Caenorhabditis elegans: one gene and its partner. The protein of the gene in region 1 interacts with the protein of each later gene in a pairwise test. Each region holds a gene or a part of one and is shown on either strand. Other genes may lie near its edges.

The links.
Region 2: the proteins of lmtr-2 (region 1) and lmtr-3 interact in a two-hybrid assay, tested with the Caenorhabditis elegans proteins (one large-scale study listed by BioGRID).

The regions. Positions count from the first base shown.
Region 1 is NC_003283.11:8,008,942-8,012,845, reverse strand, and holds lmtr-2 (Ragulator complex protein LAMTOR2 homolog), read left to right. Parts: upstream 1-1,739; coding exon 1,740-1,923; intron 1,924-2,031; coding exon 2,032-2,222; 3' UTR 2,223-2,355; downstream 2,356-3,904. Other genes in the region: Y97E10AR.6 (BSD domain-containing protein), read left to right, coding at 107-205; DNA-directed RNA polymerase II subunit rpb-9, read left to right, coding at 501-685, 1,120-1,248, 1,301-1,490; Y97E10AR.4 (SPK domain-containing protein), read left to right, coding at 2,794-3,047, 3,125-3,520, 3,616-3,726, 3,771-3,904. UniProt on the Caenorhabditis elegans protein: Regulator of the TOR pathway, a signaling cascade that promotes cell growth in response to growth factors, energy levels, and amino acids. May activate the TOR signaling cascade in response to amino acids.
Region 2 is NC_003283.11:11,121,797-11,126,008, forward strand, and holds lmtr-3 (Late endosomal/lysosomal adaptor and MAPK and MTOR activator 5), read left to right. Parts: upstream 1-2,506; 5' UTR 2,507-2,513; coding exon 2,514-2,613; intron 2,614-2,677; coding exon 2,678-2,770; intron 2,771-2,817; coding exon 2,818-3,062; 3' UTR 3,063-3,257; downstream 3,258-4,212. Other genes in the region: mboa-2 (O-acyltransferase), read right to left, coding at 74-257, 349-451, 500-612, 658-678; atp-5 (ATP synthase subunit d, mitochondrial), read right to left, coding at 1,318-1,353, 1,398-1,571, 1,617-1,927, 2,015-2,069; strt-7 (Phosphatidylcholine transfer protein), read left to right, coding at 3,468-3,506, 3,553-3,605, 4,011-4,212.

The sequences.
Region 1 (3,904 bases):
GTTTTGTCGCTGAACCATAATTTTTTTTTCGAAAAATTTGCACCAAATGTTATTAAAAGTGCTGCCCAATTATTGAAAATCGATAGCAATGTCAAACTAGTTATAGGAAATTCCATCAAATGACGAAGATGACGAAAAGGGACCATTGACACCTCGACCTGAAAGCGAAAAGAAAGAAGAAGGATGGGTTAACTGGGATGAATAATTCAAATGCTCTTTTTTCACTAAATTCACTTCTTTTTCGATATTCTACATGTTCCTGTCAATAATTCCACTGTCACTCCTATCTCTTTAAAGCTTCTAGAATCAAATGGCTAGCATCATTCCCCCATTTCTTTATTTTATGGAATTCTTTTTTATATGTATATACAAAGTTAGAAAGGTCGGTTTTCCTTCTTCGAATAATCTTATCTCTCCTCTGTTGGTTTGTAAATAAAAATTGCATTTTTATTTTATTTTCCACATTTTTGATTCGCTATTTGTGGTTTTCCATTCCACTAATGTATCTGCAATTAAAATCAAAGCTTGAAAATGTTTTATCATATTTTTTCAGAAAGATGAGCCAAGGGTATGATAATTACGATGATATGTACGATCAAAACGGTGCATCACCGGCGCCGAGTCAAAACGAAAAACCCGGGAAAAGTGGGCCTGGTTTTGTTGGAATCAAGTTTTGCCCAGAATGGTAATTAGTTTTATATTATTTAGGAAATTATTTCCGGCAATTTCACAAAGTGGCCGATTGCGCCTTGTTGTTTCAACATTTTTCATTTAAAATTAGTGTGAAAATATTGAAATTAAATTGATTTAACTGGAAATATCATTTTCAGCTGGAACATTATCGAGCTTTGTTTTTTTTTTTGAAAATCGGTAACTTGCATGCCATTTTTAAGCACTTTCTGAAGTTTTTCAGCCGAAAATAATGTTATTTTCAGTAAAATCAACTGAATTACTATATTTTGATACTAATTTTAAACTAAAAATGTTGGAACAAAATGGCGCAATATGCCATTTTGTAGAATTGCCGAAAGAAAATTGCACCCACCTCTGGCTCAAAGCTAATAATAAAGACAAAATGATGAAAATTTGAAAAAAAACATCAAAATTGTTAAACTTCAGCAATAATATGCTGTACCCACGAGAGGATAAGGAATCACGAGTTTTGATGTATTCCTGCCGGAACTGTGAGCATCGTGAAGTCGCCGCTAACCCGTGTATCTATGTGAATAAGCTCGTTCACGAAATTGAGTAAGTTCATTGTCAAATTGACTCATTTTCTAAATCAATTGGATTATTTCAGTGAGCTCACTCAAATCGTCGGAGATATTATTCACGATCCAACGCTCCCGAAGACTGAAGAACATCAATGTCCAGTCTGTGGCAAAAGTAAGGCTGTCTTCTTCCAGGCTCAAACAAAAAAGGCAGAAGAAGAGATGAGATTGTACTATGTATGTGCATCGCAAGATTGTCAGCACAGATGGACGGAATAAAACATAGTGTCCAATTGTTTTCTATTTATTTGAAACGTTTTCTTAATCGTCAATTGTTGTTTTATTCCTTATTTCTAAAATAATGTTTTTTCGGATCTCCATATGTTCCCTACCTGTTCCAATAAATTCAAATCATCATTCAATTTTTCGATTATATTTTTTCTAATTCTCGGTTTTTACCGTACTCTTTGGTTATTTTCAAAATTAAAACTTTCTAACTAGTAACCGTAATCCAAAACTTTAAAATAGATGCTGAAACAGAAAGCGCTGGTTGATGTTCTCGGACAGGTGAACACAAGCGGTGTTGATGGTTCGTGGCTTTTCAATAAGGAAGGATTGCTCCTTGCCTACGTCGGAAGCGAACAGAAAGCCGTTGCATCAAACGTCTCATCTGCACTTATAGCCAGTGTCTGGGCTGCTCTCGAGAGAAGAGGTAGATTTTTTAAAACATGCTCATAATCAGTCTATTTCAACTGGAAAATTACCAGTTCACATTCTTCAAAGTTTGAAATCAAACACCTCGATCAAGTTGTAATTACAGCCAACGATCTGAAAGAAACTATTCTCGTTCTGGAGAATGGAGTAATTGGTTGCACACTCGTCGCTCGTACAATGCTTCTGGCAGTCAAGGCCGACAAGAGTGCCGATTTGGGAATGGTCCGCGCTAAGCTTCATACACTGGCCGCCTACCTCGAGCAGCCGATTCTTTCAATTTCTCACGATTTGGGATGATCGATGTATTATCTTATATTTCTATCGGGTCTCATTCATCCCATCCAAATTCCATTTTATTTTTTTCCAATTTACTAACAATGAATAGATCATTTCACGCCATTCTTGTTTTTTTTAAGAACTTTTAAAATATAAAATACTTATTCTTTAACATGAAATTCATTTAATTGTACAAAATTGATGAAAATTGATGATCATGAAAGTGCATTGCTCAGGAGAAATTATATTCAAAAGGGAAAAAGTTCGAGTTTTTTTCTAATTTTTTAGAACTCTAATATGGCTTTAAAAAGCCCGCCGTTTGGTTGAAGGTCTCGCAACGATTTCAAAGGAGTACTGTAGTCCGTGCGACACGTCCTATTTTCTACCAATCGACACGTCGCAAAACGTCGGAACGATTTTTTCTGTAATATTATTATTTTATCCATAAAATATTCGAAATATCGATCGATATTCCCTCAAAAAACCTGTTTTCTTCTTTACTTCTCCATTTTTCCTTGATCTTCACCTCGAAGTACGCTTTTTTTACTCGTTTTCAGTGTTCTTAATTATCAATTATTTTGCTTTCCAGCAGATGCCATTCACTGAAGAAGGTCAGGTGCTCTCATTGGGCCCGAGAGGTCATGCAGATTACACAGAGACTGAATTGACGATATCACCGATTTCATGGATCGAAGAAGATGCAATTTGGACATTTTTGTACAATAAAATTCATGATGAATCAGCAAACATTGACAAAAAGAATGTTGATCCAGACAGTAATGCATTATGGGAGGATTTTCGGACGAAGACCGGCTCGGTGAGACAAGTGCGACGATTGAGATCACAGTGAGTCGTGGAGAGATGAAATTATTCACAGAGAAAAACTCTAAATTGTTTTATTCACATTAACTTTCAATTTCCAGTTATTTCAATGAGATGGTCCGAAGTTTACACTCAGCGTGCCTTTCATGCGAGACGAAGCTGAAGCTATACTTTGCTCTCGGAATCCCCGTCGAAGAAGGTTTTTTGCGTGACTTGCAGGAAGAAGGCGATGTTAAAGTTGATCAGATGAATCGAATCGAATACTTCGCTCAATATAATGGAATACTTTGTCTCCAACATAAGAGCAGAAAAAATATGGACCATAATTACTGCAGCGAAGAGGATTCGGAAATGTGGGATTTTTTAAACGAGAAAATTCATGATCCGCAGACTGGAGAAGTTATCCATCCACATGATATGCCGTGTTTATATCTATTGTGGAAAGACTACAGAAAGAAAGTATCTTCTCCGAAAAGAATAGAAACTATATACAAACAGTACGTTTTTTTTAAATATGTTCGTTTTGTATTTTCCTAATGGCTGCAAAATGCCAAAACAATTTTTAAAAGCCAATTTAATTCTCAAATTTCAGTTACTGTGAGAAAATGTATCTCAATCTGCATAAATCTGATCTGGATCCGTCGTCGAAAGCCAAAATCGCATTTTCTCTGGGAATCCCGGTTTACGACACATTGTGGAAGATGTAAGTGAATCTTCATTTTTTCCTGATCATATTTTTCACTTTAGATTGAGTGTTATCGCCGATGTTAAGCTCGACGGAAAGCGACGACTTGTGGATTATCATGAATGGGATTCTGGACTGAAGTTCTCTATCGAAAAACGGCGAGAAAAGGATGACACGTCGAACCGTAATTCACGTG
Region 2 (4,212 bases), 3.1 Mb from region 1:
TCAAGAATATTGAAAATACTAACTTTGGAAGTCTATTTTTTTTTGGTTTTATTTTATTCAGTGTAAATCTTACCAAGAATTTTTTCCATTCCAAAAACCGAGAGAATCTGAATATTTGAGCATAGGATGAGAGCAAGATTTGGCCAGCTCCAAATTGAGTAGTGATGCTCAACAAACGTTGAGATCCACTGAAGGGGTGTTATCAAAATACCATATTTGATCACATTTTCAAGTGCCACGCGTCCATTTGAAAGTACCTGAAATTTGGTTATAGAGGAATAAAAAGAAGATTAATGAAAATTCAACATTTAGAAATAGTCTAGATTTTAAAACGAGTAAATTACGAACCAAAAGTAAAATAGACAAATTGAAGAATCCACGGAAATTTGTCCATCCAGAACTCGTCGAAAACAATGAATCTTGAGCAGTATGTACCACTTTCTCGCAAGGTCCAAAAATGAAATAGTTATTCACACAAGTTTAAAGCTTTTTTCTATACCCTCTCATTTCTGAACTTTTCCTTGACGAATTACCATTTTGTGCAAATGAGGAGCGTCTACTGGAAGCCAAAGAACCATTAGATGTTTCCGAAGGCTGACGCCGCCGTCGTCCCTGAATTTAGTTTTTAAAAAAACTTTAGAAAATAATAAAACTAACCGTTTGTTGACGCATTTGCATCAGAAATACTTAGGTAACCCTGAAATTCTTAAATGTAGAAGAATCAAGAAACTGCAAAAAAATTTCGGAAAAGAATAACAAGTCAGGCCTGTCGTGCCTCCGTCTGTTTGTTTCATATTTATCGAATCAAGATAAGAGACAACGCGTCTGGCGCCTCTTGATTAAATGTGATCTATCACTTATTTAGAACAATAGTGCACTTCACGCCAATTCTTGATCTTTACATGGAATCCGAATTCAATGTACATAATACACTGACATTAATTGAAACTATGGAAATATTCGTTCAACTTCATTAGTTGGTTTTAACATGAAAAGAAAAAACTTGTTTTGATATCTTCAATCCGATCATCGAAGGTAATCAATGATGCCAACAGATTCTTTTCGCGCGAATTGCAAAGAAATTCTCATATAATATAAAGGAAACATGCGAAAGTTCTTTATCTTGCCATCACTCTTATGAAATACATAATCTGAAGAAGGGGGTATCGACTGCATAAGCTCCCAGGCACATAAAAAAATTCGACGAAATTATAAAACAAACGGCTACAAAACAAATCAAAATGGTCTTAAAAATGGTAGGAGAGCGATAAGGAAGAACGAGAGTTGTCTACTGAACGGTACATCATGATAAATCGTTTAATGGTCGTCAACCTTGTCGGCACGTCGAAGAACCTGAAAATTAATAAATATGACTATAATTTGGTAAATTTCTCCACCTTGTAGTCCTTGAATCTGTTCTCAATTTCTGGAGTCTCGTTGAGTCCGATGTTGCATGGATCAGGAATTCTGTTCTGGTAGCGAAGATCATAGAAATGAGCTGGGAAATACTCGACGAAATGCTGACGATCGAAATGTTCAACTGGTGGAGCCTTGGCCCACTTTTCCTCCACCTGGAAAAAGAATATTAAAAATCTTTTCGAAATAAAAGTAATAACCTTCTTGGCCTCCTGAAGTCCATCAGCGACCTTGACCTCATGAAGCTTAATACGGGCGTTGTTGTAATCAACCCATTGGTCTACTTCCTTCAAATACTCGGCTGGAACCTCTCCGTATGGGATCTTTACAGATTCATACTGCTTTTGAAGAGAATCGAGAACTGCCGAATGAGCCGGGAGGGCCTTCTTCAAAGCAGCAAAGTCGATCTTGGGAAGATCGGCCGGGAGCTGGCTGACAGCGGATTGGAAAGTTCCACTGACTCCCTTCACGCGGGTGAGTTCTGCGGCGTGTTCCGGGACCAAACGCTCGGCTGAAATTAAAAGTTAAAACACTAAATTGTGGAGAAGTTATTTATTACATACGTAAAATACCGTAACTTGTGACTTAAACAACTTACCGAGCTTCGACCAGTTCACGGAAGACGTCGCTACCCTCTTAGCGGCTCCAGACATACCTATAAAAATTGTGATGTTTTAACCTTATTTAGATTAACAGGAAAACGATTTTTGAAAATAAAAAGTAAATATGCTTAATTAGCAGGAAAATTGAATCGTTCACAAACAAAGAAACATAGAATAACTATTTTGAGTTGTTTTCAATTTTTAAGTAACGGAATGAACTGAAAAATAAGCTAAAACAGCTGAAAAGCACAAAAAATAGTATTTTCTGTTCAAAAGGGTGGAGTCTATCGCCCGTGAAAACGCAAAGTGCGGCGCGGTTTTCTCGGGTTCCTCGGCCATTTTTATCGGCCCTCGGGACAAAACTCGGCCACCAAAACCGATTTCAGATTTTTACTCTTATTTTATCAATTCAAGAATTTTCCTTATGTTGCTGATTATTTTAGTGGTATCTGTAGTTAAAAAAAAAAACAAAAAAGACATTGTTTCAGTAAAATGATGAACGTCCAACAAGAGCTCGAAGAGCTTATGCTTACCTATGAGGGGGTCTGCGCAATCTTCATCACTGATCACGATGGAGGTCTCATTCTGAATATCGGTAAGTATTTTCATCAATAAAACCAATAATTAATATAAACTTTAAAAATATAACCATTTTTCAGGTCTTCCATCGACATTGGATAATTCTAGATTCAGGCAACAGCTGATTGTCAGTCACGTGACAACAATCCCTCAAATTCACAAACTCGACATGGGTTAGTTATTGACTTCTCATTTTTATTTCTACTCAGTTATGTTTTAGGAGGTCATCAAACAACCTTTGCATTGTACGAGTCCCACCAAATTGCTGTTCATTCTATTGACAAGTATTATTTCATTGTTCACGCTGGAACCAACACGAACACTGGCGCCATGCTCTCTTTGCGTGAGAAATTATTTCCCATCGGCAGTCATATGATGTCACTTTGCCCACCAATTGATGGAGATGCTCTTTTACCACCACCATCGTACCCTTCTGCAGCTGCACCTCCCCCAGATTTCGACTAATAATTATGTGGTGGCTGCTCTCATTTTCCTGTGATTCCATGATTCGATATCTTTACTCAGCTTTTCAAGTTCATGCCAATCTTAAAAAACCAATCTAACTTTTCTTGTTTTCAAATTATCATACCCAATAACCGTATTTCCTGTAAAAACCTTCCCAGTTTTCTATTGATTCTCATCAAGAATAAAATTAAATTGAAAGATCCGTGGTTACAGAACATGCCTGTTTTCTCGTTGGTTTCTGCCAAAAACTATCTATTTTATACATCTCTAACGTGAACTGACTATAGCATAGATCAATCACTCTGATCGTTTTTTTTTCACTGACCGTACTGATCAAAATCATTTTTCAATCATTTCTTTTAGATTTACTCGAATGCAATAAAGTAAGTCTTATCAAACAAAGATATGCTGAACAGAAATTGGAGCAGTTTTTTGTTTAAACAGGTAAACAATATTTTGATTGAAGTGTGTTCAATTATAATACGTTTAGGTTGCACTGTATCGAAACTTCCGTCAAAATTGGTCACGATTCAAGACGAAAGCGTAAGTCAACTATTATGGAGTGAAGTAGGACCAAAAAAGTCTTACCAAAAAACAAAAAAACAGATTTTGATTTTGGACCAAGAACTACAAATTGGAATTTGTGACCATAAAACCCAAAAAAAGTCGATTTTCGATTTATTTTGAACTTTTAGAAAAAATCATTGAAAACCATTAAAACATATTTTGCTTAAGAAGATTTGTAAAATATGAAAAAAAAGCGTAGATTTTAGTCCAAAATTCGAAAATTCAATTTTTTCAATAAAAAAAATAAAAACCAAAAATAAAACTTTTTTTTTCGCTTCAAACATGTCTAAAAAATTAAAATTTTTTAAAACAACCAAAATAAAAACCATTTTTTGCCAAAAAATAAAAAAGGGCAGTCCTATTCAAATTATTGTTTTTTAGCGTTCTGTACTCCTACTCATTCTACCGTGGAGACCGACGTTTCGGCAAGTTTGCTCTAGCTGCATCTACAGCCGGATTCACATTTCGAGATCATGGAATCAGTGATGATCGAATCGCAGAATGTGAAAACTGTGAAGAGGAGTTTGCTCATCGAAAGACACCTGGAAAAGGATGGGAGTTGCTCTACGAAGAGAAGGATATG